3 linked regions of the Arabidopsis thaliana genome follow. The protein of the gene in region 1 interacts with the protein of each later gene in a biochemical or structural test. Each region holds a gene or a part of one and is shown in the gene's direction. Other genes may lie near its edges. The genes, in order: BSL1, CDL1 and CDG1.

What was found.
Region 2: of the proteins of BSL1 (region 1) and CDL1, one has a biochemical effect on the other in vitro, tested with the Arabidopsis thaliana proteins (one study listed by BioGRID).
Region 3: of the proteins of BSL1 (region 1) and CDG1, one has a biochemical effect on the other in vitro, tested with the Arabidopsis thaliana proteins (one study listed by BioGRID).

The regions. Positions count from the first base shown.
Region 1 is NC_003075.7:1,359,499-1,371,374, reverse strand, and holds BSL1 (BRI1 suppressor 1 (BSU1)-like 1), read left to right. Parts: upstream 1-5,876; 5' UTR 5,877-6,208; coding exon 6,209-6,410; intron 6,411-6,500; coding exon 6,501-6,561; intron 6,562-6,678; coding exon 6,679-6,757; intron 6,758-6,879; coding exon 6,880-6,959; intron 6,960-7,049; coding exon 7,050-7,144; intron 7,145-7,234; coding exon 7,235-7,334; intron 7,335-7,417; coding exon 7,418-7,487; intron 7,488-7,685; coding exon 7,686-7,787; intron 7,788-8,010; coding exon 8,011-8,092; intron 8,093-8,180; coding exon 8,181-8,351; intron 8,352-8,570; coding exon 8,571-8,742; intron 8,743-8,836; coding exon 8,837-9,038; intron 9,039-9,198; coding exon 9,199-9,369; intron 9,370-9,448; coding exon 9,449-9,687; intron 9,688-9,769; coding exon 9,770-9,854; intron 9,855-9,946; coding exon 9,947-10,045; intron 10,046-10,128; coding exon 10,129-10,328; intron 10,329-10,411; coding exon 10,412-10,487; intron 10,488-10,577; coding exon 10,578-10,713; intron 10,714-10,820; and 6 more. Other genes in the region: AT4G03090 (sequence-specific DNA binding transcription factor ATNDX), read left to right, coding at 438-581, 662-817, 922-1,005, 1,088-1,216, 1,361-1,579, 1,699-1,830, 1,907-1,999, 2,349-2,501 and 7 more; AOP1 (2-oxoglutarate (2OG) and Fe(II)-dependent oxygenase superfamily protein), read right to left, coding at 11,755-11,876. UniProt on the Arabidopsis thaliana protein: Phosphatase involved in elongation process, probably by acting as a regulator of brassinolide signaling.
Region 2 is NC_003076.8:632,315-642,017, reverse strand, and holds CDL1 (Protein kinase superfamily protein), read left to right. Parts: upstream 1-4,449; 5' UTR 4,450-4,643; coding exon 4,644-4,752; intron 4,753-5,195; coding exon 5,196-5,377; intron 5,378-5,462; coding exon 5,463-5,652; intron 5,653-5,727; coding exon 5,728-6,119; intron 6,120-6,209; coding exon 6,210-6,473; 3' UTR 6,474-6,811; downstream 6,812-9,703. Other genes in the region: PRR7 (pseudo-response regulator 7), read left to right, coding at 557-866, 968-1,129, 1,263-1,396, 1,568-1,732, 2,025-2,199, 2,298-2,745, 2,843-3,512, 3,616-3,735; GSTL3 (Glutathione S-transferase family protein), read right to left, coding at 7,160-7,162, 7,548-7,628, 7,721-7,828, 7,925-8,001, 8,084-8,186, 8,260-8,358, 8,444-8,530, 8,725-8,785 and 2 more; GSTL1 (glutathione transferase lambda 1), read right to left, coding at 9,533-9,535, 9,691-9,703. UniProt on the Arabidopsis thaliana protein: Serine/threonine-protein kinase involved in the positive regulation of brassinosteroid (BR) signaling and plant growth. Phosphorylates both BSU1 and BSL1 in vitro.
Region 3 is NC_003074.8:9,932,932-9,943,408, reverse strand, and holds CDG1 (Protein kinase superfamily protein), read left to right. Parts: upstream 1-4,103; 5' UTR 4,104-4,472; coding exon 4,473-4,569; intron 4,570-4,882; coding exon 4,883-5,076; intron 5,077-5,177; coding exon 5,178-5,367; intron 5,368-5,452; coding exon 5,453-5,853; intron 5,854-6,285; coding exon 6,286-6,702; 3' UTR 6,703-6,827; downstream 6,828-10,477. Other genes in the region: AT3G26950 (uncharacterized protein), read left to right, coding at 1-322, 410-572, 691-891, 984-1,229, 1,311-1,455, 1,550-1,781, 1,873-2,207; AT3G26935 (DHHC-type zinc finger family protein), read left to right, coding at 8,191-8,274, 8,883-9,065, 9,170-9,466, 9,558-9,791, 9,875-10,408. UniProt on the Arabidopsis thaliana protein: Serine/threonine-protein kinase involved in the positive regulation of brassinosteroid (BR) signaling and plant growth. Mediates BR signal transduction from BRI1 receptor kinase to BSU1 phosphatase.

The DNA.
Region 1 (11,876 bases):
TTTGCTGTACTCAATTTGGGCTTTAAAAAAAGAAGTAAAAGCTATGTTGGGCTTTAATTAAACGATTTAGACCCAAAGAAAAGAGGTCACGTGTACTCTCACGTGATTGTCTTCATCGTTTCAACAACATTTGGAAATAAAATGTTAGGGTTTGAAATTGGTCGCTGGAATCAAATAATCCGATAAGCCATAGCTGAGTTTTCCCTTCTACTACAAAGAGCGAGGCTCAGTGTCAATATATTTAGAAATTAACCTCATTCTTTTTACTCATTTACCGTTATGCCACCATACCCTGAAGTAGATTTCACTGCTTTTGATTTTCGTATCTTCTTCTCTGTCACATAACCTAACACTATAACTCACGGCGAGACAAAATTCTAGTCGCTCTTCATTCACCGGAAACTAGATTCAGTCACTGTTGCATATTAGTGACAGTCATGGTTCGATTGTTGCAGCCTAAACACATGGTACAAGCTGTGAACGCTTTGCATTGGCGAAACTCTGTGGAATTTCATAAGCTGCTTAAAGATAATGGAGATTTCTCTATTTGCTTTAACTCTGAGCAAGTGTTACCACAAAAGGTGCATTTTTAAACTTGATTTGCTTTTTCAGTTTTTTGCTATTCATTTGTAGTAAGTACTGATGTTTAGGTTTCTTTCAGATTAGTGTTGAGAAGATGGTGAAAATGTTACCTCGGCACCTCATTGCGGTGGTTATGACTCCTAATAAAGATGGAAAGTCTCGTTATATACTGTGTGGGATCAGACTGTTGCAGACGTTGTGTGACTTAACACCTCGTAATGCTAAACTCGAGCAGGTTGTTCCATCTTCATATGTGGTTTTGAGCTTTTAAAGAATTGGACTTTATGCCTCCATGGAACATAATGTTTGATTCTTTTTTTTGTTTGCATATTGTGATAGGTCTTGCTTGACGATGTGAAATTATCAGCACAGATGATTGATCTGGTGATCCTTGTGATAATAGCTCTTGGCCGTAACAGAAAGGTTCTTTTCTGTAGAATCCTTTTTTTGTCTCTTCCTGTTTCTTTTTAGAGCTGTATAATTCATGTCCGTTGCTTGTTTCCAGGAAAGCTGTAATTCGAATAAAGAATCGTTACTAGAGGCTACATTGGTGGCTTCTTGTCTCCACCTGTTTCACGGGTTTATCTCTCCTAACTCCCAAGATCTTGTTCTCGTCTTGCTTGCACACCCAAGGGTATGAAACTATGACCTTATCATAATGTGTTTGAAATGCCAATGTGAGGAAAATATATTAAGAAAATTACGCTTATGCTTTGGGATCTGGGTTTCTGCTGCCTTGGGATTAGTTTGATCTGATTCTTTTTTTTTTTTCATCTAGGTTGATGTGTTTATAGACAGTGCTTTTGGAGCTGTTCTCAATGTTGTGATATCTTTGAAAGCGAAGTTGCTGTATAGACAAACTGACTCCCCAAAAAAGTTAGGCGCAAGTTCTGTAGAGGAGGTTAACTTCCACTGCCAACAAGCTGAAGCTGCTTTGCAGTTCCTTCATTCTCTATGCCAACACAAACCCTTTAGAGAACGTGTCGCTAAAAACAAGGTTTCTCTATTGCTTGGTGTTTGTACATTAATCACGAGTTGTTAATAATTTGTTTTGCTTAATTGATGATTTTATGGAGGACGAATCTCAGAATTATGTTTTCTGGTATTTTCTCTCAGGAGCTATGTGGAAAAGGTGGCGTTCTTAGGCTAGCTCAATCCATACTATCACTAACTATTACACCTGAATTTGTTGGAGCAACCGTAACTATAGCTTCCACATCTAGAATGAAAGCAAAAGTTCTTTCAATTGTAAGTCTATTGAAATTTAGCAATTTTTTTCTCTATTTACTATCTGCAACTCATACCAAAGTTCATGTGCCTGCAGTTGCAGCATCTGTTTGAAGCGGAAAGTGTCTCATTCCTTGACGAGGTTGCAAATGCAGGAAACTTGCATTTAGCCAAAACTGTTGCCTCAGAGGTTAGTCCTAATTAGGGTCTCTGCTCTAAAATCGATAGGACGTTTTCCTTCTTGATTCGAAAGGTTTACCACTGAGTGACGCTTCTATTTATAAAGATTCCATACAAATTGACAATCTTATTTGTTTTGATACGTTGTAACTAGTCATAGAACAAACCTCACTGCAAAAAGCTCGTGTTGGCTAAGTGATAATCAGCTCTGCTCTAGAGTCTAAACCTACAGTTTCCTAAATGGCATATGTTGTTAAATTGACATTTTGTACTTTTCTGTTCCTCATTTCTCTCCAGGATAGTTTATCCATGTGAAGTTAAGTGTTGACCTATTCAGTGATGATATATCTGTAATATAGGTTCTTAAATTATTGAGGCTTGGCCTTTCTAAAGCTTCCATGGCTACTGCTTCTCCTGACTACCCGATGGGTTTTGTGCTACTTAACGCTATGCGCTTGGCTGACGTGCTCACTGATGACTCAAATTTTCGATCTTTTTTCACTGAACATTTTGTAAGTATCAAGTTATTCCTGCCTCTGCCAAAGTCTCTTGTTTTATTTATTGTTTTGGCACATATGATTCATACAATTTATGAGCTGTCGTCGGTATGGTTATAAATTAATTGCGTTACTGAAATTCTGTAATTTGTTGTGTGACGGATGTTAAATCTTTCTCCAGAGCATGGTTCTCAGCGCGGTATTTTGTCTCTCTCATGGAGATTTCTTGTCAATGTTGTGCTCTTCTGATCTTTCTTCAAGGGAGGATGATGCGAATGTTGATTATGATCTGTTTAAGTCAGCTGGATGGATTCTAAGTGTATTTTCATCTTCTGGGCAATCAGTCACACCTCAATTCAAGCTCAGTTTACAAAATAACCTTACCATGTCTTCATATGCACATCAACGAACATCCTTATTTATTAAAATGATTGCGAATCTTCACTGTTTCGTTCCCAACGTGTGCCAAGGTGATTTTTTTGCCCGCCACTATCTTCTGCATTTCCCTGTATCATATTGTTGGTTTGCCTTCGTTTGTTAGTTACTAAGTGTATTCGCTGTTAATATCTGCAGAACAGGATAGGAACCGTTTCATTCAGAATGTTATGAGTGGATTGCGAAAAGATCCTTCAAGCATATTGATTAAGATGTTACCAGGCTCTTCATATACTCCTGTGGCACAGAGAGGCACTGGTGTTTGCAGAAACCTAGGTATGTATCTCTATCCCGAGACACATATATTATTTCTTATATACACATGTTTTGCTGATTTGGTTTTAATGGATATTTGTATATGTAGGTTCTCTGTTGCGCCATGCAGAATCCTTGATCCCTAGTTCCCTCAACGAGGAAGATTTTCTGCTTTTGAGGTAACATAAAGCCTCTTCAGTCATTCTACTTTTCACCTATGACTACATTAAAGTTTTGTAGTTCTCGAGCTGTACTATTTTATGTAGCCGTTGATATTATTTTTTTCCGGTATATTGTCTTCTGCAGGGTGTTTTGTGACCAGTTACAGCCGTTAATCCATTCCGAGTTTGAGGAAAGTCAAGTACAGGTGAAGGTGAAAAAGCTTTTTGCTCTCTTATACATTGGTTTTACAATTCTCTGGCTTATCTGTTTAGTTACACTGATACAAGTAGGTGTAACAAGGTTTTACTCATGTCCATCGTATGTTAAATTTCTACGTAAGACAGATCTTTTGCTAACCTTCAAATGTTATGTTGTACTAGGATATTGAAGGTAGGGGCGGGAATTTATCTGGTAAGCTAAAAGAGCTTCTGAATCTTAACAATGAGGAAGCTTCAGAGGATTGTGATGTCCGAGTTGAAGGTGTGATGACAAAGCAAGGCGTGAACGAGGAGATAGACACAGTTGAAAGGTTGAAAGAGAGCGATGCAGATGCTAGCAATCTTGAAACCAGTGGTTCAGATACAAGCTCTAACAGAGGGAAGGGTCTGGTTGAAGAGGGAGAGTTGGTTCAGAATATGAGCAAGCGATTTAAAGGCAGTGCATCAGGAGAGGTGAAGGAGGATGAGAAATCTGAAACCTTCCTTGTCTTTGAGAAGCAGAAGAAGAAACGGAAGCGTAGTATTATGAATGCTGATCAAATGGGGATGATTGAGAAGGCGCTTGCTGAAGAACCTGATTTGCAGCGGAATTCAGCTTCGAGACAGTTATGGGCTGATAAAATAAGTCAAAAGGTGAGTTCAAGAATTCTACTCTTTTTAATTTCCAACCACGTATTACGAACGATGCGCTCGTTGATTACATGATTTTGCAGGGTTCGGAGGTTATTACATCTTCGCAGCTGAAAAACTGGTACTTGCTTTTATTTGTTCCTCTTCGTCAGCTGCAAAGAGAATCTCGTAATCACTATTCATTATCTGACATTGAAAGTTTATTATCAGGCTGAATAACCGAAAAGCGAAACTAGCTCGAGCAAACAAGCAAACGGGGCCAGCTCATGATAATAACAGCTCAGGGGATCTACCGGAGAGTCCTGGAGATGAAAACACTTGGCAGCAGAAACCATCAACACCAATTAAAGATCAAACTGTAACAGAAACCCCGAAAACAGGAGAGAATCTGATGAGAACATCGTCATCATCAGAAGAAGGGATAAAGCAAGGGCAACAAGTGAGGCTTATGGATGAGAGAGGAGACGAGATCGGGAAGGGAACAGTGTTGAGAACAGACGGTGAATGGAACGGTTTAAGCTTGGAGACAAGACAGATATGTGTAGTTGATGTAATGGAGCTTAGTGAGTCATATGATGGGAGCAAAAAGATGATCCCTTATGGATCAGATGATGTTGGGAGGACTTTCACAGAGGCGAATTCAAGGTTTGGAGTTATGAGAGTGGCTTGGGATGTGAATAAGCTTCAGTATTAGACTCAGTTGCATTGAATTTGACCAGTAGGTTTTTGATTTTTGTTTATTTTTAACTGTTTAGAGATTCTCCTCTGTTTTGTGAGCTTTGTCTCTCTCTCTCTGTGGTTATTTACAGGCAAAGGTTGAGACTTTGAGAGGAAGGTAATAACAGAAGGAATAGTTTGACTTTTTTAATCTCAGTTAGTTGACTTTACAGCTATTTAAAGAAACAAATTTTAATTGTTTCGTGATTTAAGGAGATTAACTATAGTAAATTTAAGAAGAAATCAATTCCATAAAGTAGCTAATGATTATATTTGAATATTTAGGTGGTGTTATTCAATTATGGAGTTAAAGTCAATTCTTTAAACTTTAGATTTGTTTTCTATATTGTTTTTAAAAATATGTTTGTATGAATTTCAAAATCTCTGCAATATGTCATGGATTTCGATTCTAATGATTTACTCATGAAACTCCAAAGAGGTTTCATTTCAAATGAATTAATATACAAGGATTTTACAAGATTTTTAGTTTTGAATAACACTGGATTTTAATGAAATATTTAAAATCTTAATTGAATAACACTAAACTTTAAAATCTATTAAGCATGATTTACAAAGATGAGTTCCAATAACACTAGATTTTAAAACTGGATTTAGAATCATTAGTTGAATAACAGTGGATTAGTGTTGGATTTCAATTCTATTAAAATCCATTAACTAATAACACCCCCTTAGATAAATTACCAATAAGGCTACAGCTTATGCATTATTATTAAATTTGTTGAAAATGTGTATAGAATTAGAATGTTCCTCTAAACGAAAATTCAAATTTCAAAGTTTCGATAATAAAGTGTTGAAATAGAAATGCTTTTCTTAGAATTGTCTACACACAGTATTTACCAGATATAAAAAAAAATAACAAAGGGTAATCTAGACAATTCACATACATATAAAGCCGTTGACTAAAGAAGAAGACTAAAAGTCCAGCTCAGCGAAAACGCCTTTTCTATCCGAAGAAAACTGTGTCCTCCAAAACTCGGCGAAGCAAAGATTTTTATTTTATTTTTTCTTCTCTTTTAATTCAAAAACAAAAAATAGTCTCTGAAAAAAAAAGAAAGGTTTTTACTTTGTGGAGAAGACAGAGTCCGTCCGTCGTAACTCGCCACCGTTCTCCGCCGTGAATTCTTCTTACTCCTTCGATCTGAACTTTCTACCTAGTTCTTTCGTCCAGTGCCGTAGTCTTTCCTTCTTTGATTCGCTTTCTAGGTTTCGTCTTCTCATTTCTCTGCTTCTGGTTCAGTATTTTGGCTGTTGCGGGATCGATTTATACCCGTAAAGTGGTTTCCAATGGGCTCGAAGCCTTGGCTACATCCAGCTCCTCAGTATAAAACCCTAGAAACCTTTTGGGATGATGAAGACGATGCTCCTGGTCCTAGATGCGCTCATACACTTACGGCTGTTGCAGCTACTAAGACTCACGGTCCTCGTCTTATTCTCTTCGGCGGCGCCACCGCTATTGAGGGAGGGAGTTCTTCCGTTCCTGGGATCAGTAAGTTTCCCTTATTGAATTTCAGAATTTGATTTTTTTTTTGTTTGTTTGGTTTGATTTGATCTGGAGTTGTTCTGGTTCTGGTTTTAGGGTTAGCTGGTGTTACCAATACGGTGCATTCTTATGATATTCTCACTAGGAAGTGGACAAGGTAATAAAGACTTCGTTTTTAGTTTTTGAGATTTTGTTGTTTGGTTTATTATTGTTTTCTTGCAAATCCACGTTGGTTTGATGGAGAGTTGCATTGTGAATTTCCGGATTTGTGCAGGCTTAAACCGGCTGGTGAGCCTCCGTCTCCTAGGGCTGCTCACGCCGCAGCTGCAGTTGGCACCATGGTCGTTTTTCAGGTTATCTTTTGATCAATTATTCAGATTGTTTATTGTTTCTGGCAAAGCGCAAATGTGATAGTTTTATGGTCAATTGTCATTGTTCATGTATGATATTTACTTATGTTTGTTCTAAATAACAGGGTGGCATTGGACCGGCGGGGCATTCTACTGATGATCTTTACGTTCTTGACATGACTAATGATAAGTTCAAGTGGCACAGGTGAGAGACTCTTTATAAGTTTCCCAGTTCAGTCTCTCTTAGCTATCTGTTTTATTGATGTCAAAATTATTTCATTTAATGCGTGTTCAGGGTGGTGGTTCAAGGGGATGGTCCAGGCCCTCGCTATGGCCATGTTATGGATTTAGTTTCTCAGAGGTATCTTGTTACAGTCACCGGAAATGATGGTAAGAATATGTCTGTTTTACTATTCTGTTTTTTTTTCTTAAAGAATAGAGATATCCTAACAAAAATGTGTCTTTCTGTGTATGGAACAGGGAAACGAGCTCTTTCTGACGCTTGGGCACTGGATACAGCTCAGAAACCATATGTATGGCAGAGATTGAACCCAGATGGTGACCGACCAAGTGCTAGAATGTTAGTGATTAAGTTGATTTTAATGGTTACTGTAGAACGGTTGTTCTTCAACTGAATTTTCATATTATGATTTGTTTGCATAGGTATGCTTCTGGCAGTGCTCGTTCTGATGGCATGTTTTTGCTCTGCGGGGGAAGAGACACCTTGGGGGCGGTATACCTTTTTCTCCATTAATCTCTTGTGCAGAAATTAGTAGACTTTTTTTTTCCAGGATAGGGCTAGATAAAATACAGAAATCTCGAATTCTAGAGCTTTGCTTATCTTGCAAGGAGATCCGAATTTTAAGATGTTATGTTTTCAATCTTCTTGATGAATGCTGGCATATTCCCTTATGTGTTCGTGTGTCTGCAGCCGTTGGGAGATGCTTATGGGCTACTGATGCATAGAAATGGTCAGTGGGAGTGGACTCTGGCTCCAGGTGTAGCTCCTTCTCCAAGATATCAACATGCAGCGGTAAACCAAATCTTGCTCTAATTTCAAAACATATGGAAAAATAGCTTCTGAAGCGTTGACTTATACTAGTATTCCAGAGGACTGCACATTGTAGCTTTAGAAACTGAGTTGACTATTGTTTTTCTTCTATATGATTTGATTGATGAGGCATTTGATTTCATTTACAAAACCATGCTCTAATTTTAGCCATTGCCATAAGTTCCTTAATTGTTTTTCTTATCAGGTTTTTGTAGGTGCAAGATTACATGTCAGTGGTGGTGTGCTGAGAGGAGGCCGTGTAATAGACGCTGAAGCATCTGTTGCAGGTAATGGTGATGGTGAGCTAATTCTCGCAGGTTTTGCTCCTCTTGATTTTGATCTTTCTAATTGTTGTGGAATCTTTTTTTCTCGCAGTGCTTGATACTGCTGCCGGTGTATGGTTGGATAGAAATGGGCAAGTTACTTCTGCACGTGGAAGTAAGGGACAAATCGATCAAGATCCGTCTTTTGAACTTATGCGACGCTGTCGCCATGGCGCGGCATCAGTTGGTATCCGGATCTATGTGCATGGTGGTCTAAGAGGAGGTAGGCCTGATAATATTCCTTTTGTACAACAAGATGCCTTAGTTTATTGCAGTACATATACTTTAGTTCTGTAGTTTCACGTTTCATAATTTAGGTCAAGTTGAATCTTAGGAAGTTTTTGTGGTACACTTACATCTCTTATAGTTTGAATTAATGTCTCAAGTTTATCTATCCTTATTCTCAGAGTATGACTATTACCGTAATTTTATTTCCGCACAGATGTGTTACTTGACGATTTTCTAGTTGCTGAAAATTCAACATTCCAGTCAGACATCAGTTCTCCTTTGCTAGCATCAGATAGAACCCAACAAAGTTCTACTCCCAGGTTTTCTTATGCCGCACGACCTCCTTCAGGCTCTGAACCAAGCTTCTCCATGTCTGAGGGACTGAGGTCTATCCCATTTCCTACCCTCTTTTGGTTTGTGCTTAACTGTGTCTAGTTGTTTGAGCATGACTTATCTTACTTTTCTCCTCAACAATATCAGCTTGGATGAAAATTCGTTGGAGAAATTGACGGAGGCTTCTGCAGCTGAAGCAGAGGTAGCTAGTTCTGTTTGGCGAGCTGCACAACTAGGAGCTGGTACTCTGGATGAAGAACCCTCTACCTCTGATGCCAGCTCGCCAATTGTAGAATCTACTACTGATGGTACCGCAAATGAAGGAGATGTCAGGCTTCATCCGAGAGCTGTATGTTAATACCTAAGAATATTATACATTTATCTCTTTGTCTCATGCGTTGGACATATTGGCTGCTTAGTTTGAAATACTTCCCAACATAGTGTATGCTTGAATAACTGTTGTACCTATTCTTTTGCGTATTTGATTACCGAAGTATCTCATTTGATAGGTTGTGGTAGCAAAAGAGACGGTTGGTAGTCTGGGCGGCATGGTAAGACAGCTAAGCTTGGATCAGTTTCAGAATGAGAGCCGACGGATGGTTCCCATGAACAATAGCGATGTGCCACAACCTACCAAGAAGTTCACGAGACAGAAGTCTCCGCAAGGCCTGCATAAAAAGGTATCATTCTTCTGCAATCTTCTCATCCTCCTGGACACTGTCCCTGTTAATATCTCTACTAATGTGTTGTTGCTTGCAGGTCATTGCTGCTTTGTTAAGACCTCGAAACTGGAAACCTCCTGGCAATAGGAAATTTTTCTTGGATTCTTACGAAGTTGGGGAACTCTGTTATGCTGCCGAACAAATATTTATGCATGAACAAACGGTTCTTCAGCTAAAGGCTCCTATCAAAGTATTTGGCGATCTCCATGGGCAATTTGGCGATTTAATGCGTTTATTTGATGAATATGGATTTCCCTCAACAGCTGGAGACATCACGTAAGTTTAAGAAATCGATTGAACTTTGTGGAGTTTTGCTAAAAAAATATAGTCACTGAACGATTAAACGTGTTTGCCTCAGGTATATTGACTATTTATTCTTGGGAGATTACGTTGACCGGGGACAACACAGCCTGGAGACTATAACGTTGCTGCTTGCATTGAAGGCAAGACGGTGCCTAATTTCACATCACCAATATTAGTAGTGTCATTCAAAATGTGCTTTTTGGTTTTATGGTTCTGAGATATTCCTTTGCAGATTGAATATCCGGAGAATGTTCACTTGATTCGTGGAAACCACGAGGCTGCTGACATTAATGCACTATTTGGTTTCCGTCTTGAATGCATAGAAAGAATGGTAAATCCCTCTCTGCAGAAATATTCATCGTGTTTGTCGCTAGCTTTTCTGCGTAGACTAAGCCTGCTCTGTACTTTTGCCAGGGAGAGAATGATGGCATCTGGGCGTGGACAAGATTTAATCAACTTTTTAATTATCTTCCTCTTGCTGCACTAATCGAGAACAAAATTATATGTATGCATGGTGGAATTGGGAGGTCAATCAGTACAGTGGAACAGATTGAAAAGATTGAAAGACCCATAACAATGGATGCTGGATCCCTTGTTCTAATGGATTTATTATGGTAATCCATCCTTTGCTGTCTTGCTTTCATATCAATCACTATTTCTAATATCCCCGAGTTAATGACATTTTTTTAAAGTACAGGTCTGATCCTACAGAGAACGATAGTATCGAGGGTTTAAGACCAAACGCCAGAGGACCTGGCCTTGTCACGTTTGGGGTAAATCACCCCTAATTCGCTCTTATTGTCGTTTTTTATTAATATTGTTTTTAGGGGCCAATCACTGAGGGCGTAGTCTTGATACTGCAGCCTGATAGAGTCACAGAATTCTGTAAGAGGAATAAACTACAGCTAATTATCAGGGCCCATGAATGTGTGATGGATGGATTCGAAAGATTTGCACAGGGACAGTTGATTACGCTTTTCTCCGCCACAAATTACTGCGGTGAGGCGAAACAAAACCCGTCAAAACCTCATCTTGTATCTATGATTGTATTCTTGGATAGGAAAAAACATCAAGAAATAAAACATTGTGATACTTTTCTTAAACAGGAACTGCGAACAATGCAGGAGCTATATTGGTGGTTGGCAGAGGATTGGTGATTGTTCCCAAGTTAATTCATCCTCTTCCACCTCCCATCTTATCTCCAGAGAACTCTCCAGAACATTCTGGAGACGACGCTTGGATGCAGGTAACAACAACTTTGCTACTTCTGTTTCAAATTAATTCAAATCCATACATCAACTCTTTTACTACATCATAAGAACACATTCTCCAAAACAAAAGCTTGAAACTTGTTTCAGCCACAAACCGGGTAACCTGACCTTAGTGTAAGAGTCTGTCTTTGTCTTTTTCCTAGAAATATTTGGCCTAAACCGGAAACACATAATAGTTTTGGAACAATAAAAGACATTTTCCTAGCATATACCAGTGAAGCACATAATGTCTTTGTTTCAGCCACAAACTGAGCAACTTGATCTTAGTTGGTAGTTATGTGATATGGATAGTCCTAGGAGAGTTTATGTAGCTATATCTTTTTTTGGCTACGAACCAGAGACACTGAAAGTACACAATTTATCTTTTGCAGGAGCTGAATATCCAGAGACCGCCGACTCCAACACGAGGCAGGCCACAACCAGATTTTGACAGAAGCTCGCTTGCATACATCTGAATCTGATTGCATTCCCGGTTTCTGCCTGCAACTCATGAAGTCAACCAATATTGGATTTTGGTACAACTTTATACAAGTATAGTAAGATTTTATGTTTCAAAATTTGCAGTGTTCATATACTCTGCCGCACATGTGTAATATAATCCACTATACCACCAGAGAGTGAGAATGGTATAGTACTATTTTTTTGCTTTTCTTCTAAAAAACTCTTTAGTGAGAGATGATTTATATTTCTTCAAACATAGATTTGGTTTTTGGAATGTTAAAACTACAACACAACAACATGAAGTTATACATTCATACATACTTCTGATTCAAAAGGCAGCGAAAGCATGGAGAGCTGATTGAGCTATACGTCCAGCTTCTGTCTGAAAGAAGTGAAGAAAATCTGTGTATTCAAAGGGTTTGAATATTCGTGGATGTTCTTTGTCGACAA
Region 2 (9,703 bases), on another chromosome or scaffold:
ATCTTTCTAATATCTATCTATCTCCGGAAAAATAAAAATCGGTGGCTTATGGTCGTCTCCGATTTCCACTCTCTGGGAGACAGAAAAACCTCATAATCTCAAAAATTGTTCACTGTGTTTATCTTCCTTCTAAAGTTCTAAGAAGCTTCGATTCTTAATTCTGTTTATCGATTTGAATTCCTTGTTTCTATTTCCCAACCGTTAGCTGATTGTGCTAGATCCATTTTTCTGGTGATTGATGCAACTTCTGGAGCTCGATTCTTCGTTCTAGTATTTGATTATTGTAAGATCAGTACTCTCTTGGAATTTAGATGCTTTTGTATGGTTGGATTTTTATTTGATGTAATTTGTCTAGATTCGATTTTTTGATGATTCTTCAAAAAGTTACTTGATTAGTTGGTTTTTTGAGAATTCGTCGTTCTTCAACTCTTTTTTCTGTTAATCTGAGATATTGTACGATTCTAACTCCTCTAGCTATTGCAATAATCGAAATTAGGGTTTATGGCTGTGTTTTGATATTTTGATCATTTGAATTCAGCGAAGCAGAGTTGGTGTGATGAATGCTAATGAGGAGGGGGAGGGTTCACGTTACCCAATCACTGATCGAAAGACCGGAGAGACGAAATTCGATAGGGTTGAGAGTCGGACAGAGAAGCATAGTGAAGAAGAGAAAACTAATGGAATTACTATGGATGTGAGAAATGGGAGTTCAGGTGGACTGCAAATTCCATTGTCGCAACAAACAGCGGCAACTGTCTGTTGGGAAAGGTTTCTTCATGTGAGAACCATTAGAGTTCTGCTTGTCGAAAATGACGACTGCACTCGTTATATCGTTACTGCACTTCTTCGCAATTGTAGCTATGAAGGTCAGTTTTGAAGCCTATGGCCCAACTTTAATCTATAGCGCATATATGTACCCGTTTCGGTTCTGTTTGTTGATTGATTATTATTAACTCTGTCATGGCAGTTGTTGAGGCGTCAAATGGGATACAAGCTTGGAAGGTGTTAGAAGATCTAAACAATCATATTGATATTGTGCTAACAGAGGTGATCATGCCTTACTTATCTGGTATCGGTCTCTTGTGCAAGATTTTGAACCACAAATCTCGTCGGAACATCCCTGTCATCAGTGAGTTCTTTTTCCTTGGTCGTTTTACATTGAGCTCTTTCTTTTGAAGTTACACGATTTGTTGAGTCTTCTCTAGCGTATGTTGGAAAGTAGATGCTTTTAACTACATTCCCCTGTGAGATTTGTGTTGCAGTGATGTCATCTCATGACTCAATGGGGCTGGTCTTTAAGTGCTTATCGAAAGGAGCTGTTGACTTTCTTGTTAAGCCAATAAGAAAAAATGAGCTTAAGATCCTTTGGCAGCATGTTTGGAGAAGATGCCAAAGTGTATGTCCTTGCTCATATATGATTAATCTGAAAACCTGTTGGTACAACTGGTGATAAGTAGTAAACTAGAAATTCATGGTCTAATTGTGGATTGGTATCTTCTTTTTTTTTTTCCACATGATTGGTATCTTACTTTTTGGTTTCTCATGGTTTTCCTTGTTTCTTGTTCAGTCTAGTGGTAGTGGAAGTGAGAGCGGAACGCATCAAACTCAAAAGTCTGTGAAATCGAAAAGTATTAAAAAATCTGATCAAGATTCAGGAAGCAGTGATGAGAATGAAAATGGGAGCATTGGCCTGAATGCTAGTGATGGAAGTAGTGATGGGAGTGGCGCTCAGGTAAGACGAATGTGCAATACCGATAATCTAAATATACACCCGAGAAGCTATCCTTTTAAAAATTTCTTAACCACAAATGATAGGGGTCGGATGATCGAACTTCGCATGTGCACTCAGATGCTTATAAATGGTGGAAGCGCTTAACTAACCAATTGTAGAACTCAATGATGTTTAACTTAGATCTATTCAGTGATAAACTGGGTGAAAATTTCTAGTTCATTTTGAAGTTTTATTTTGCACATGGTTTATCTCCAAAACCTAGGTTGATTTTGACATACCTTTTTTTGTTCAGAGCTCTTGGACGAAAAAAGCTGTGGATGTTGATGACAGTCCACGAGCGGTATCTCTATGGGACCGAGTTGATAGCACTTGCGCCCAAGTGGTACATTCTAACCCTGAGTTTCCAAGTAATCAGTTGGTTGCACCACCTGCTGAGAAGGAGACTCAAGAACATGATGATAAATTTGGTAAAGAAAGGAAACTGTGATCTCTTAGTTTCTTCCATACTCTTCTTTATACTGAAACTCAAAAACATGATATTGAATGTTTTTCATCTATTTTGCAGAAGATGTCACAATGGGTAGAGACTTGGAGATTAGCATTCGTAGAAACTGTGATCTGGCCCTGGAGCCAAAAGATGAACCCCTATCTAAAACTACTGGCATTATGAGACAGGATAATTCGTTTGAAAAGAGCTCTAGTAAATGGAAAATGAAAGTTGGAAAAGGACCATTGGACCTCAGTAGCGAAAGTCCTTCAAGTAAACAAATGCATGAAGATGGAGGCTCGAGTTTCAAAGCTATGTCTAGCCACCTTCAAGATAACAGAGAACCTGAGGCGCCTAACACTCACTTGAAAACTTTAGATACAAATGAAGCTTCTGTTAAAATTTCTGAAGAGCTAATGCACGTGGAACATAGTTCAAAGAGGCATAGAGGAACTAAAGATGATGGGACACTAGTTAGGGATGATCGGAATGTGCTGAGGCGTTCAGAGGGCTCAGCTTTCTCAAGGTACTTTCTTAGAATCAAACCTCTGTTTTTTCTTCCGTACACAACCTTTTGAATGCCTTATTGAAGAACTATGAGATCGACTGTTGGACTTGTGCAGGTATAATCCAGCCTCAAATGCCAATAAGATTTCTGGTGGGAACTTAGGAAGCACTTCGCTTCAGGATAATAATAGTCAGGATCTTATAAAAAAGACTGAAGCAGCATATGATTGTCACTCGAACATGAATGAGAGTCTCCCCCATAATCATCGCTCACATGTCGGTAGCAATAACTTTGATATGAGTTCCACGACTGAGAACAACGCTTTCACAAAACCAGGAGCTCCAAAAGTAAGCTCAGCAGGATCTTCATCAGTGAAGCATTCATCGTTTCAGCCTTTACCCTGTGATCATCATAATAATCATGCCTCCTATAACCTTGTCCATGTCGCTGAGAGGAAGAAGCTACCGCCACAATGTGGATCCTCAAATGTGTACAACGAAACGATTGAAGGTAACAACAACACAGTGAATTACAGTGTGAATGGAAGTGTATCAGGTAGTGGTCATGGAAGTAATGGGCCATATGGAAGCAGTAACGGTATGAATGCTGGAGGAATGAATATGGGAAGTGATAATGGTGCTGGCAAAAATGGAAATGGCGATGGTAGTGGAAGCGGAAGTGGAAGTGGTAGCGGAAACTTGGCGGATGAAAATAAGATCTCTCAAAGGGAAGCTGCTTTGACAAAGTTCCGTCAGAAGAGAAAAGAGAGGTGCTTCCGAAAGAAGGTAAATTCTCGGTCAAATCTATAACAAAGGAAAAAAAAAGTATTCTTGTAAATTGCGAAAGCAAATGCAAACCGCAAAAATGTTTTTTTTTTGGCTTTCTCAGGTACGATACCAAAGCCGGAAAAAACTAGCAGAACAACGCCCTCGAGTGCGAGGCCAATTTGTGCGTAAAACAGCCGCTGCAACTGATGATAACGACATAAAAAACATTGAGGATAGCTAACGGAAAATCAACAAAACCCACTATTTCTCAGCCCAAAAACATGAGTAATGTGCTCATATCTATCTTATATATATATATCTATCACATGTTTTAACATTTTCCCTTCAAAGTCTGATTCTTTGATAATACTACTACTATTCACGAAACAAAGACACTACGACATTTGATTGTTTGTTATTATTGTCGTTGTCTGGTCTGGTTTGTGAAATTAGGACGAAGGGTTTGGTTTCAGGATGTAGTGAAATCTTTGTAGATGTTGTAAACTTGTAAAACAATAACCCCTTCTCTGTATATTTTTTGGTATAAGCTTGCTTTTGGAGCCGTGCATAGTACGGTGTCGTATTGTATCAACATTATCTCTTTCAATATCATTTAGCTTATATCGTAAATATATATATTCTTAGAAAAAATCTGTCTTTGATAAACACCATTTTAAAATAGGAATAATCAATCTCTTATACCCAAATGATTGGAAACTATAATGGTGACCACGATTGTTGCTTATTAAAGTTCAATTTCAATATTGTTACAACTTACAACACAAGAAATTTATTCAATCAAATAATCTCTTTTTGTGTGTTGAAAAGAAATTTAAATTCCATGGGGGTAGTTAGTTGATACTACTTTGATAAAATATAATTTTTGTTTGTCTTTTTTTCTTTGACAATTAATTTTTATTTGTCAAAGTCAAACCCATTCACATTAATTTGTATCACAAAAATTAAATTGTTTTAAAAATATATTTTATATCAAAAGAGAAAAATCGAAAAATCCAGCGATTGGCTTGGCGTGCTTTTTTTACATTTCAAAGTTCTCTAAGCTTCTCTCTCTCTCTCTCGCTTTTGAGATCATCGAACACAATCGAAACGAAGAATCATTTGAAGAAGAAGAAGATCGTGAGAAGCTTAATGGGTTGGATCCCGTGTTCTGGGAAATCGAGTGGGAGGAATAAGACAAGGAGGAACGGTGACCACAAACTCGACAGGAAGTCTTCTGATTGTTCTGTGTCTACTTCAGGTAATTTCTCTTTATAGTCTTTGTCCAATTTTAATTCTGGGTTTAACCTTCTCTTACTAAATTATGGAAATTTTTATCCTTTGCTAAAACTTTCTGATTCCTGTGAGCCATCATCGTTTGCTAATGCTGATTAGGGTTTTTGACTTTCTGTTTAAAGATTGCTTTTTTCCTTCCATTTCACTAGCTTTTGACTACTCTGTAACACCTGTGTTAGTATTTTGACAGTGATGTGTTATTGCATGTCTCTTTCCTGTTAATTGTTGTTATTGCTCTCCAGTGGAAGTTGTGGATTAAACTCTTAAATGGGACTTGCTAGATCCTTAAGTATCTTGCTATATTCTTAGAACTTTAATTTGTTGATTATTGACCTTGAGACAATTATGCTCAGCTTGTGTTGATTAATTATTTCTTCTTATCGCTTTCTTTTCTTTCTTTTTTTGTAGAGAAATCTAGGGCCAAGTCGTCCTTGAGTGAATCCAAAAGTAAAGGCTCTGATCACATTGTGGCACAAACGTTTACATTCTCTGAGTTAGCTACTGCCACTAGAAACTTCAGAAAAGAATGTCTTATAGGAGAAGGAGGATTTGGTAGAGTTTACAAAGGATACTTGGCCAGCACTAGCCAGGTTCCTTCCCTTTTTTTTGCTTGGTTTTAACCTTTTGAATCTTCTTGGTAGTGAAAGCTCACTGTCATTATATCTTCATTTGTAGACAGCGGCTATCAAGCAACTTGATCATAATGGTTTACAAGGAAACAGGGAGTTCCTCGTCGAGGTTCTCATGTTGAGTCTTCTTCATCACCCGAATCTTGTTAACTTAATAGGATATTGTGCTGATGGAGATCAAAGGCTTCTAGTCTACGAGTACATGCCCCTAGGTTCACTTGAAGATCATTTGCACGGTATGCGCTTCTAAGATCACACATGCCTATGAGAAGTCTTTAAATTTCAATCGGGTGATGCTTTTTTTATTTCAGACATTTCACCTGGTAAGCAGCCACTTGACTGGAACACCAGAATGAAAATAGCTGCCGGTGCTGCAAAAGGTTTGGAGTATCTGCATGACAAAACCATGCCTCCAGTGATCTATCGAGATTTGAAATGCTCAAATATTTTGCTCGATGATGATTACTTTCCAAAGCTATCCGACTTCGGGTTGGCTAAACTTGGCCCAGTTGGGGACAAGTCTCATGTGTCCACTCGGGTTATGGGAACATACGGATACTGTGCTCCCGAGTATGCAATGACAGGCCAGCTAACACTCAAATCAGACGTTTACAGCTTCGGTGTTGTTCTGTTGGAGATTATAACTGGTCGGAAAGCAATAGACAGTTCAAGATCTACTGGAGAACAGAATCTAGTCGCATGGGTAAGAAAAAAAAACAAATTGGGAACAAACTTTGTTTTCTCTGCGGATTCTTCCTTCTAATTGTATTCTTTGAAATGCTCTCTATGTCAGGCAAGGCCTTTGTTTAAAGACAGGAGGAAATTCTCTCAGATGGCTGATCCAATGCTTCAAGGTCAATACCCTCCGCGAGGGTTATACCAAGCACTCGCTGTAGCAGCGATGTGCGTACAAGAGCAGCCAAATCTTAGACCTCTCATTGCTGACGTCGTCACTGCACTTTCTTACCTCGCCTCCCAAAAGTTTGATCCTCTGGCTCAGCCAGTCCAAGGATCCCTTTTCGCTCCAGGGACTCCACCTAGATCAAAGAGGGTCTGAAAATAATCCCGAGAACCGCAATGCTGTGTAAGTTATGTAGCTTAAACCCATTCCGTGCTGTCTTTCTTGGAGAGGAAAGGTGGATGATTTTCAGACTAAGTGTGAATGTATGGCTTAAGAGCTACTTGTAGATATGTGTAAGAAGAGATAGATTCATATAGAGGCCGGTTTATAATGTTGTTATAGGTGATGTTGTTTAATGTAATGTTTATTGAGCGCTTGCTTTCAAATGTGACAATTTCTCATTATTGTACTGAGGATGTCTGCTTCGATTCCAAAGTTATTGTATAAATATTAAAGTACTATAGTTTTCAAAACTTTAATGTGTGAGATTTTGATTGTATTGATATCATATTACAATGTCAAGGATTGATTATTGGTGAACAGTCAAATATAGATCAAGCTGTTGCTGCAAGTTAACTATACACCTTATCCTTATTGCATCATCTGGTTCTTAATGTGTGAGATTTTGATAGTATTACTATCATACAGTAATATATTAACAATGTCAATGGTTGATAATTTGATCAACACTAGAATACAGATTAAGCTGTTGCTGCTTAAAGTACAAATCTTATTGCATCATCAGGTTCAAGTACACATCTTATTTCTTCATATCCAAAGACCACCTGTTCGTACAAGGTGGTTTGGTCTCATACACTTTACTGCTTCGTGCTTGCTTACAGTTACTGCAAGAATATAACCGGAATTAGACTCACATTTAGTATAGACCATTAACCGAGAAAGTATTAAACAAGTCATTTGGCCATAGTAATAGGCTAGCTGATGATTAGTGCATGGTCTTTGCTTTCAAAACGTCTAAGTCGCAAAACGCTCGTTGGAGAAAGATGAGATTGTCTCTGAGCCAGATGCTAAACCGACTCGGTTTTCATTCCCAAAACAGAAAACTAACCCAAAGCAACGAACATTCACACCTAAACAACCAGATGCTTAAAGGCATATATAGCTTTTATGTTCTAACCCCCAAGAAAATATGAAGCAACTCACATTTGGATCCATTAAAATCATGTGGTAGTTCAGTTAAAAAAATTATATCCTAGTTGTATGACTTACCATGAATTTTTTCTTGAAAACCTCCACAATCTCCTTAGGATCCATTTTCGTCTGTGCATAGCCATCGCTCTTGTTAATTTCCTGCAAACATAACACCGATCGCTTAAGTACCATTCCCTAGTGAGGATAAGTGTAATCTTTTCTGACTTAATGAAGATTGCATATATATATACCTCAATCCATGCTGATAGTTTGGGACGTTCGGCAGTAATGTCGCACTTAAATAATTCATTGAGTACAGTTTGGAACCTTTCAATGAACGGGATATAGGCGATATCAACCTTGAAAAAAACAAAGAATTCAAACCGTCCATATAAGAATTAAGACAAACAAAAGGCGAAATGTATGATCTCAAAGAAGGTTAGTGAGGCTTATACCAAGCTTAACTGACCGAGGAAGAACGGCCCGTCATCGAACTTATACAGAGCGTTTTCCAGATAATCTAACACAGGTGCTGAAACAAGAACATGAAATTTTTGGTCATAATTTTGTCGCCTTTTCACCCCTGAAAACAGTTGAAGAGTTTAAAGTCTCACCGGTTTCTTTAGAGGGGTCTCCTTTGAGTGACACATACATAGTTTTAACGAAAGTATCAGTATACTTGAGCAACTCGTCGCCAAACTCTCTTTTTGCATGATCCTAGAGAGGGAAATGAATAGTGGAATCAGAGAATAATGAAGGGAAACCATACTCGGTATAAGGGATGTGTTACCTCGGGGTAAAGAGAAGGCCCTTCAAAAGTGTTATCAAGATATTTAATCAAATCCAGACTCTCCCCAATGATTTTTCCATTGTGCTCAAGCGCTGGCACCTGAAAAAGATAACGAGAAGTTTCCACTAAGTCATAACCAAAAGTGGAATGTCACATATGAACTCGTGAGTTATAAATAGAAAACCTTGTTCTCTGGATATACTTTCTCCTTGTACCAAGCAGGCCTATTCCCAAGATCCAAAGGAACAAGTTTAATCTTTTCTTGCAAACCCTACAACCACCGGAAACCAACCAAAGAATCCAACTACTTTATAAATAGAGTACACATATGCAAGAAAGATAAAAGTTTGTGAGACGTCAAATTAACAAACTTCAACAAGATAACCAATCCGGCTTCAAATATCCCTAATACGACCAAAATATTGTTAAAGGTGAGAGACTAGTACAAAGGAGAAGCTGTTAAACCTTGAAGTTTCGAGTGATCCAAACTCGTTGAGCAAATGGGCAAACGTAGCTTGTGTACAACCTTTGGTAACACAAAACAATAAGAGGTTAAGACATAAGGGAAATCCAATAAACTACAGAACAGAGCTAAAACCAAAAGCATAAAAGAAGCAACATTGAAGATTAACCTTGTGGTTCCGTCGAAGAGAGACGGTGGATCAGAAGTAGCATCAAGCGGAGCTGGACGATCTTCTACAAAACTGTCTCAATAGAATCAAGCCACAGAAAAACTTAAATTCCCAATACAGCTGAAATCGAATAGACTTAATGTAAAAAACATGAATTTTGCGAAACTTATAATCCCAAAATCGATCAAACTCAATAAAGACTCTAAATTCCGGATAAGAACATAGATCCTTACATAAAAGAAGGAGCCATTGACGATACAAAGATCTGATTCTGTAGAAGAAACTACGGATTTTTTTTGTGTGGAAGCGTTTACGTTTCTCGAAATTACAGTCATCATCGTACACGTGGCAGTTTTGTGATCTTTGTCGGGAACTCCATAACTCATAATGGGCCGTAATTGATACAATTCAATAAGGTATTCAATAAGGTATTAAGCCCATTTTATTATTGACATTTGTATTATCCGGAATAAACCATGTCTCTCTCTTTGATGAATGAAAGTAAACAATACCAAATATCTCTTATTTATCACAAAATGTACAATACCAAATCCAGAAATTTATAACACTCTCAAGTAGTAATATTTCTTCTTCATAAGCCATCATGGCATCGTTACCAAAGTCCAACAGATTTGTTACTTTTACTGCAAATAAAGAAAAACCGGAATCGGTTAGTTTTGTTTTAGAACGTTAACCGGAAATTGAGTTAAGACAAAATTGCAAAGCCTAACATTAAAGTAAAAAGGGCATTTGAGTCCAAATAAACAAAAGTTTAAACGTTTATAAAAAGCGAAATTACCATGAATCTCTTG
Region 3 (10,477 bases), on another chromosome or scaffold:
AAACGCGGTGGAACAAGACGGAAGCGGTTGTTCGGGAAGACGATTCTCTTATCATCTGTGGTTTTCTTCATCGGTTTTGGTTTGTTGTTGCTCACGCTCCGTTCCGTAGATCCTAATTCGTCTTTCATCGACGACGACGATGACGAGTCCGAATCCGAGGAGGCTTCGAGATGGAGCAACTCTTCTTCGATTGGAGAGGCTATGGTCGATGGAGCTAAACTCTGCGCGACGGTAGAAGAAATGGGAAGCGAATTCGATGGTGGTTTCGTAGATCAAAGTCTCAGAGTTCGAGATGTTATCCATCGCCATTTTCAAATCAATGGTGAGATATTTTGTTTTTGAATCGACTCTTATATAAGCGGAGGTGTTTACGATGAATCAATGTCGATGTGGTTATTGTGGTTTATAGGAGCTTCAGCGATCCGTGAGCTGCCTCCGGAGCAATTTTGTAGACATGGTTATGTTCTAGGGAAAACAGCAGAAGCTGGATTTGGAAACGAAATGTATAAGATCTTAACATCAGCAGCATTGAGCATAATGTTAAACAGATCCTTGATCATTGGCCAGACCAGGCATATATTGGTTCTTTCTCAATCCTTTTTCTCTATATTAACTGAACTGTTACTATGCTTGTTGTAGTTTGTGTTATTTGTCTTGTTTATATTTCTTTCTTTCTCTGGGTATCCTCAGGGGGAAGTATCCTTTTGGTGATTACATTGCTTACTCAAATGCTACGTTTACAATGAGTGAAGTCAAGCATCTGTGGCGACAAAATGGCTGCGTGAAGAAATACAAAAGGCGGCTTGTTATGAGATTGGATGATTTCGAGAAACCGGCTAAGAGTAATGTTCTATGCAGTAATTGGAAGAAGTGGGAAGAAGCTATTATATGGTCAGTTGAAGAAAAGAAAGTACAGAAGATACAACTTTGAATTCATTTTGTGAAAGTTATAATCATTACTGAGTCGAGCATTTGGTTTTCAGGTTTCAAGGCACGACAGACGCTGTGGCAGCTCAGTTTTTCCTCAAGAATGTGCATCCTGAGATGAGAGCTGCTGCATTTGAGCTATTTGGAGAGCAAGGAAACTCGGCACCACGAGGTAATGTGTTTGGAGAGTTGATGATGAGTCTCATATCTCCCACAAAAGATGTTAAAGAAGCAGTGGACTGGGTTCTACACGAGACTGGGGATCCTGATATTTCAGTGCACATGCGAATGTTGATGAGCAAGTATGTTAAAACGTGCATCTAGGTTTGTTTTTTTAGTTGTTGAGCTTGTTGACTAAGTCTTCCTTTCATGTTTTTCTCCAGATCTGTTAGACCTATGCGTGCAGCGATAAACTGTCTAGGGAAAGCAATTAACAGACTTGGCATACCGAACCCGAGAGTGGTTATAGTGTCTGACACTCCATCTGTAGTGAAAATTATCAAAACAAATATCAGCACCATTGCAGAGGTATCAATGATCTATTAAACTTGCACTTTCTCTAATCTTCCCAATGATTTATTCAATTCCATTGGCGGACTAAGTAAGTTGCAATGGTTTTCAGGTTCTACATTTTGACTATAAGCTTTTCCGAGGTGATATCGCTCAACGTGGCCGCGGTTTACCAATGTTAGATTTCAGAATAAAGGATTGGGGTCCTGCACCGAGGTGGGTTGCATTTGTAGATTTCTTCCTCGCGTGCCGTGCTAAACATGCGGTGATCTCCGGTGCTAACAGGCGAGTTGGGACTACTTATGCTCAGTTGGTTGCTGCATTAGCCGCGGCAAACAGTCTCAGTTAAGATCGTTTTTTAGTTTCCTCAACACTTATTTTTCTTTCCTTCTGATCTGTCTCATTAACAGTACTCCTTGACTGGTTAATTCACAGAGGATGGTTCGAGCAACTCAAGCTTTGCGTTCCTGAGTAGTTTCCAGAGCAATTTGTTAGCAGATGGTCTGAAGAACCAGGTAGGTTGGGGACATGTCTGGAACCGATACGCTGGACCGTTAAGCTGTCCAAAACAGCCAAACCAATGCGCCTTCACGCCGCTTGCACCTCCTGGTTGGTGGGACGGTATATGGCAATCGCCCATCCCACGGGACACTCGTAGGCTTGCAGCTTTCGGCATTGAGCTTTCCGGGTTTGGTACGGTTAACGAAGACCGGTTCCACGCCTATTGTAGCGCCAAGAAAGAGTACGTAAGCACTGTAACAATCATATAATGACTTCTTGAAAAAGATTCTGGACTCTTGGTTATAAATGGACTCACTGGTTTTATTCTTCAAATCTACTTCCCCTTCTTTAATTGAACCGGCCATATCAAACTTTTTGTTCTAAATAACCGGACCCAAACCGAATTAAGCAAACCGAACGCCCAGGCCTACGAGTAACTAGCTGGCCTCTTGGTTCAATATATGGTTTTACTACTCCCTTCTTAAATTGAACCGGCTTTCTTACCAGGTCTAAATAACTAAACCCAAACCGAACTAACTAATTAAACCGAAGTCAAATATATCCAGCTATAAGTAAGAGAAGACTTCTGGTGTTTATTAGAAACAAAGTAAGATTAAGAGAGGAATAAAGCTGGTGTCAGACATTAAAGATGGAACATCATCTCGTGGAATCAAACTTTTCCTAATACAAAAATTGATTCTCGGTTAGTGAAACTTCAATTTACTACCACTTGCAGATTGTTAATTTCATTATTATTATTCTCGTCGTTAGAAATTTGCTACTAACATTGCAAGTAGGTTCAGGTATAGGTGAGAGCTAGTTTAAGATGGACAAAACTAATTATGTAAGTAGTTCTTGTAAAATATGCATTTTAAAGGTAACAATTGCTATTTTGGTGTAAACTTTTGTAATGACTAAAAATAAATAATTGTGATGGAAATAAAATCTGATTACAAAAAGATTTGAGAACGTCATGATTCATTCATAATCATGTACTGTCTACCATACTTTTTATTCTACGTACTACCATACAATCTCCAAATTTTAAGAGTGGTATGGCTCCATGACTCACATCACATGATTTACATTACATATTGTACTAATGTCAGAACCTTAACCGATCGTAAAAACCGATCAACAACGTTAACCATCATTATTGACCGTTATCTGTCGTCATAAAATCTCGGCCAAGGCTTCTTTAAAGTCTTGGCTAAATCAAAAACAACTTTTGAATTTGAACCTCATAGTGGAGCTAGAGAAGAACACAACCAAGAATCAAATGTGTATACGTTCGTATAATTAATACTTGTTAATACTGTTTCCCTCTCCTCTTTCTTTAGTTTTGTTAATTACTAGACTTTTATGCACAAAATGATAAGAATGGAGTCATAAAATCCATAGAAACCATAAAAAAAAAGTTCCGATAATTATCATTATCGTATATTGAATAATGTGAAATAGAAGTTGAATGTGTTTCCAAATTTGGTTCGGAACTGTCTTATGTCTCAGACAGAGAATCTTTGATAAAATCTTTTAACTTACATTGCATGGATATATTGGCCTAAATTTTACCATTATCAGCGTTCCTTTTAATTTTGAGGTTAAACATAGGGAAAAGCATCTTGCCGTTTTCATCGTCTGTTAAAAATTATTGAGTTTTAGACTGGGAATCTTTAATACTTGTAGCTCACGTTACATGAATTTGTTTATCAAAATTTTGTTATTCTCTGCGGTTTTTGCAATACACTTAAAAATTATTTTGCACCAAAACCAACCAACAAAAAAAATTCTTCAATGAATTTCAAAAACGTTGATAATTTTTTTGTCGTTACGTCTATAGTTTTGGGCCTTTTTTGAATGCATAACAAACATAGTTATCATCTAATATATCACTATTAGAATTTAGAAATACTTAACGTGAGGATTATTTTCTAATTTTTGTCTTAAAAATTAGTTTAAATTCAGAATCCAACATTTATCACAATTATAAATTCCAGGGATATAAAGGAGAAACTTACTATAAAACAATTAACATTGTAGATTATTACCCTCAATGGCATAATAAAACAATAAATGATTTTATCTCATAGAAGCAATTGGTGAGTAACGTACCATATATATTGCACCCCCATGCTCTCTTTTGTTGATTACGTGTCTTTCCTTCCTATCAAAACCCCTTCAACCAAATCTTATCTAAATCCCCCAAAATTTTACGAAAACTCTCGATTTTAATCTAAATCTCCTTCCTTATCACCTCACAAATTTCTCGTGTTTTTTTGTAATCAATTTTTGATGGAAAATTATTCCCAAAACTCGAATCTCTGTTGATCGTGTGTTTCTTGGGGTTCGTCTGATTCCTTCAAAGTTTTCATCTTTTTGATAACAAAACCGTTAGTTCTTTGTCCTCGTGTGTGATCATCTCTTGAGCCCTATTGATAAACCATATAGAGAGTGTATGTGTGTGTATATCTTTGTTTATTGAGTGACACCAACAACAAAAAGATTATTTTCCTTGAGATTGATTAAAAGAAAACATGGTTAGTTGCTTGTGTTTTCGTCCCAGTCGGAAAACGAAGCTCAAAGACAAATCTCATAAGAGATCCATACGTAACCAGACATCCTCCTCTTCTGGTTCCTCTCACTTCCCTTTGATCTTTTTATTATTATTTATAGATTAATCTTGAGATTAGTCATCTTTAATACCAGTCATTAGTAGTAAATCATGATAAAATCTCCCTTTTCTTTTAAATAGCTTATTTATTAATGATACATATAGTATTTGTCTTGTGATTAGTTTATACGGATCGTACAAATCCCGGCTTAGGGTTTGTGTTTTATAGTTCAAAGATTTGTGTATTTGGCTGATAAATGTCTTTTTAATCTACTTGTGATCCAATAACATATGTGATATAGTCTCTCATTGTGTTGTTTTGTTCCTCTGTAGCCCAACCAGCTGGAACAGCAAAAGAAGTAGATTCGTCAAGTTCACAAACCGTAGTGCAAGATTCTTCTAGATACAGATGTCAGATTTTCTCATACAGAGAACTCGCCATCGCGACTAACAGCTTCAGGAATGAATCTTTGATCGGAAGAGGTGGATTTGGAACTGTGTATAAAGGAAGGCTAAGCACTGGACAGGTAATCTATTATTAACATTTGGACTAATCAAATCAATAATCTTGTCGTTGTGAAATCTCTAACTGTTTGTCATTGTGCTTTGTTGTTGGTCTTAATTCAAGAACATAGCTGTTAAAATGCTTGATCAGTCTGGTATTCAAGGAGACAAAGAGTTTCTTGTGGAAGTCCTAATGCTCTCGCTCTTGCACCACCGAAACCTAGTGCATTTGTTCGGTTATTGTGCTGAAGGCGATCAAAGACTCGTTGTCTATGAATACATGCCTCTTGGATCTGTAGAAGATCATCTCTACGGTAAAAAAAAAACTACACTCAAACCAAGAAATTTTCAAGAACGAGATTCATTAAAGTTTTTTAAATTCTTGTGTTGTTTTGTCAGATCTTAGCGAGGGTCAAGAGGCTTTAGATTGGAAGACAAGGATGAAGATAGCTCTAGGAGCGGCTAAAGGGTTAGCGTTTCTTCACAACGAAGCACAACCTCCTGTGATATACAGAGATTTGAAAACTTCAAACATATTGTTGGATCATGACTATAAACCTAAGCTCTCAGATTTTGGACTTGCAAAGTTTGGTCCAAGTGATGATATGTCTCATGTCTCTACTAGAGTTATGGGAACTCATGGGTATTGTGCACCAGAGTACGCGAACACCGGGAAGTTGACGCTGAAATCTGATATTTATAGCTTTGGAGTTGTGCTGCTGGAGCTTATCAGTGGACGCAAAGCTCTTATGCCCTCATCCGAATGCGTTGGTAATCAAAGTCGCTATCTTGTGCATTGGGTAATCCTCTCAACCTTATTTTGCTTAAGGATGGATTAGTTTTTTCCTTATGACCATTTATAGGCTTTGCTTCTTTTAGACTATATAACCAGATTATATCTATCTAAATTCCAATTTTGCTTAAGAGAAAAATTGTTTTGATGGTGACCTTTTGGTCGATTTTGCATAATTATACCGTTTACGATTTAGGGTTTAGGGTTTAGATTAATCAATTAACCATTAAACCATATGCTATCAATTTTGATTTTTCGTAAAAATGGTAGTGGTTTTACTATTGACCTTTAACCATATATAGGTTTTGATTTTGGTTATGCTGATGAAAAAGAGTTTCGTGTTATGGCCCTTAATGATGTGTGGATACGTATTAGACTAATGAATGTTCCGATTTTGATGACGACATGTTCATGTGTTTCTTTTTTTTTTTCTTAACAGGCACGACCGTTGTTCTTGAATGGCAGAATAAGGCAGATTGTAGATCCAAGGTTAGCAAGAAAAGGCGGTTTTTCGAATATACTTCTTTATAGAGGTATTGAAGTGGCCTTTCTGTGCCTAGCAGAAGAAGCAAACGCTAGACCATCGATCAGCCAAGTCGTGGAGTGTCTTAAGTATATCATTGATCACACAATTAGGAAGGAAAGGAGAACTAGGCGTAGACTACTAGGAGGAAATAAGGATGGGGCGGGGACATCGAGGTCACCGGATGAGACAATGATGAGGATGTTAGAAGAAGAAGAAGAATACGTAACTAGTGAAGAAGCTATTGAGAGAAGGAGGGTAATCGTGGATGATGCTCGTACTTGGGCCGGTATGAATAGGAGAGGGGCTACGCCACCAACTCCGACTCCATGAAAGTGAAGTAAATTTTTATTAACTTGTTTTTCAAGTTATATTTGGTTAAGTTTGTTTGGTGAGACTATTGTTAGAAACCAAATTTTGTTAAAACATTTAAACATGGCAATTTAGTTAATACTAGATTTATGTTTGTTTTTATATATGTACTAACATCAAATTGATTTCTTACAAATTTCATCTGCTTCAATAACTTCGGTTTATTTAATTCGATTAAGATTTTGTTTCATAACAAAAAAATTAATATTTTGGACGTAAACTTTTTCATTTCATTTTTTTTAATATTTAATTTTATTATATTGAATCAAAAATTACATGGTTATCAATAAACATACACATACAACCAATATTTAGGTAAAACAAAATAATCGAAAAAGTAAAATCGCACGTTGCTTCTTTCGATAGGTAGGACTTATATGCTACCAGAGAAATAATTCTGTTACTTTTTTTATTCGTTTTCATCTTTGATCTTCTTTTTTTTACTATCGCCTTTTTGATGAAACTACAATAAGTTCTTCAAAAATTATTAGTTGCGATCCATCTGTTACATCGCAAATCATACAAATTTTTTTTAGTTGTAGAAAACATGATTGTTTATATAGCGACTTGTTTTCCATATAGATATTCCTTCTTCACAGCCTCCAACACCGGTATCATGACTCCCCAACATCCATATAACGCTGCCACTGGATTCATATGGATCATATTCATATAACGCTTAACATTCTGCAAACTTGAAACTTTAGTCAGATAGCATTATAACATATCTACCATCCTTATTGGAACCAGAAGCGTTCTACAACCACTTTGTGATTTTTACATCGGAATTGTTGTACACGTAAACTTTTTTGTGTTATGAAAAATGTATTTAAAAGTTGAATGAACATATTTATATAGTTAGGCCCACTTGTGTGAATTCAGATTTTCAAGGCTCAAAAGAATATTTTTGTTTTAGAGAAGGTTGAGTCCATCATCATAACCCATATGTTGCCTGTCATCATATTTTTCTTTCGACCTTTTTCTCCTCGAGATTTCAAAAGATAATCACTATTAAGAAACAAAATTTTTGACCGCGGTTACTAAGTGACAAACCAATGAAATAAAGACACGTCAGCTTCTGTCAAAATAAGAAAGATAAACTAAAAAAACGACGGTCACACACAGTTTCTTTCTTTTTGGTTATATTAAAATGTTTTTGTTTGAGAAGACAAAAAAAAAAAAAGTGGGGGAAGAGAACCCACCATTGAAATTGGGGGAAGAAGAGAAGAGAGGCTAACACACAAAAAAAAAAAAACCCTTCTTTTTCGCTGGCTTACTCGTGCCCTTGTCGGCTTACTTCGCCGGAAATCTGAATTATCCTTTTGCCGGAGACTACTTACCCTTCTCTTTCTTCATCTTCGAAACGGGTTTTTAAAGCTCAGCTCTTGGTGACGCCGTCGTGAGAGAGAGAGAGATTGAAGTAGAAGAAGAAGAAATTGAGGTTGAGAGATGTATGTAGTGCCTCCGCCTCAGCGATCTGATTCTGGATCCAATGGTGATTTAAGGGTTTACCAAACTTGGAAAGGCAGCAATGTGAGTTTTTTTTTTCTCTTTTTTGTTCTTCTTTGAGCTATAGATGCTTCATTACTCTTCCTTCCCATTTTTTTAGTTTTTGCTAAGTCTATTAAATGGGACTTTAGATTAGCTGCTATGTTTTCAATTTCAACCTAGTTCAAAATTGGAACTTTATTAAGTCTTTAGGAGAATCTAGCTATTGCGTTTTTGTGAATCCTAGGTTTTGGTGTCGTTTTCATAGGTTGCTTTTGTGGTGAATACCCTTTGGATCGTTTTAAGCTGGACAAGGCATTTTAACTTTATCTAAATATAGCTCAATGATAGATTGAGTTACTTTGGACAGAAAGGTTTTGTAATTTGAGATTACACATATATATATAGTAGATACTTGTGTATAAGGAGGTTTTCAATAACCTTCTCTCTGTGTTGCCTTAAGACATCAGCTAGAGAATCTGAATACTTCTTCAATGATTACTTACTCTGAGTACTGATTAAGACATGTGTTGTGTGATGTACTGAATTCATCGCTGGTGTATTGTTTTCCTGGATGATTCTTGTTTTTGGGGAATACTTTGTTCTCGAAAGTTTCTCTACCGGGCTGTTTATTTTCGCGTTTTATTTTGCAGATATTCTTTCTTCAGGGAAGGTTTGTATTTGGGCCAGATGTTAGATCACTGGCGCTGACCATTTGTCTCATTGCTGTCCCTGTTACAATTTTCTGCATCTTTGTCGCAAGGAAGCTAATTGATGACTTCTCCGATAGCTGGGGAGTCTCAATAGTAGCTGTCGCCGTCGTGTTCACCATTTATGTATGTATAGTTTTTTCTCGCATTGCATAGCAGATGGTCTCTATAATATTCTGTAGCTGATGCTTTTATTTTGTATTCCCTTATGATTCCGTTTCTTTCTTCAGGATTTAATTCTTCTGCTGCTTACATCCGGAAGAGATCCAGGTATTATCCCAAGAAATGCTCATCCTCCAGAGCCTGAAACCCTTGATGGAAACATGGATGCAGGGGCTGGCCAGACTCCGCAGCTGCGATTGCCTCGCATTAAGGAAGTACAGCTTAATGGAATCACATTTAAGGTCAAGTACTGTGACACTTGCATGCTCTATAGGCCGCCTCGCTGCTCGCATTGCTCAATTTGCAACAACTGCGTAGAAAGGTTTGACCATCACTGCCCTTGGGTCGGCCAATGTATTGGGATGGTAAGTCAAAATCCAACTGATCCCGTCTTTAAGCTATCCACATAAACCATAGTTTCCTAAATATCATCTCATATTCTGATGGTTGTTGCAGAGGAACTACCGATTCTTCTTCATGTTCGTCTTCTCCACGACCCTTCTATGTATATATGTGTTTGCCTTCTGCTGGGTCTATATAAGAAAGATTATGGAATCAGAGCACACAACCACTTGGAAGGCAATGCTTAAAACTCCTGCCTCCATTGTTCTAATAATATACACATTCATATCAATGTGGTTTGTTGGTGGCTTAACAGTTTTCCATTTATATCTCATCAGCACGAACCAGGTATGTTGCGACCATCCAATCCCCACCCTCTCTTAAGGAATCACGGTATCTCTGTAACCATTGATTTATCTTTGTTCTTGCAGACTACATACGAGAATTTCCGATACAGATATGATCGGCGAAGCAACCCACATAACAAGGGAGTGGTTAATAACTTCAAAGAAACATTTTTTTCCACAATCCCTCCTTCAAAGAACGACTTTAGAGCTATGGTCCAGCGTGAACCTCCATTACCTCCTAGATCTGTAGCAGGTGGTTTTATGAGTCCAAACATGGGTAAAGCCAATGATGAGATTGAAATGGGAAGGAAGGCTGTTTGGGCAGACATGGGTCCAGCAATGTCAGATCATGGTGACGGTAAACATGGTAACAATGAGCGGTTACATGTTAAGGACGGTGAGTTAGGCGAGCTATCTCCAGACATTAGGGCAACAGTTGATGAACAGAGTGATAGGCCAAGTATGCACCCGAGACGCTCAAGCTGGGGAAGGAAAAGCGGAAGCTGGGACATGTCACCAGAAGTTATGGCCTTAGCAGCCAGAGTAGGAGAACAAAACCAGAACGGCGGAGGTAGCAGCAGCGGAAGCGGTTTAGTGACGGAGAACCGGCCTACATAATTGATTACATGGTTTAGCACCGAAGGAAGAAAGAACATAGCCGAAGTTCGGTATGGTGAATACAGGTTT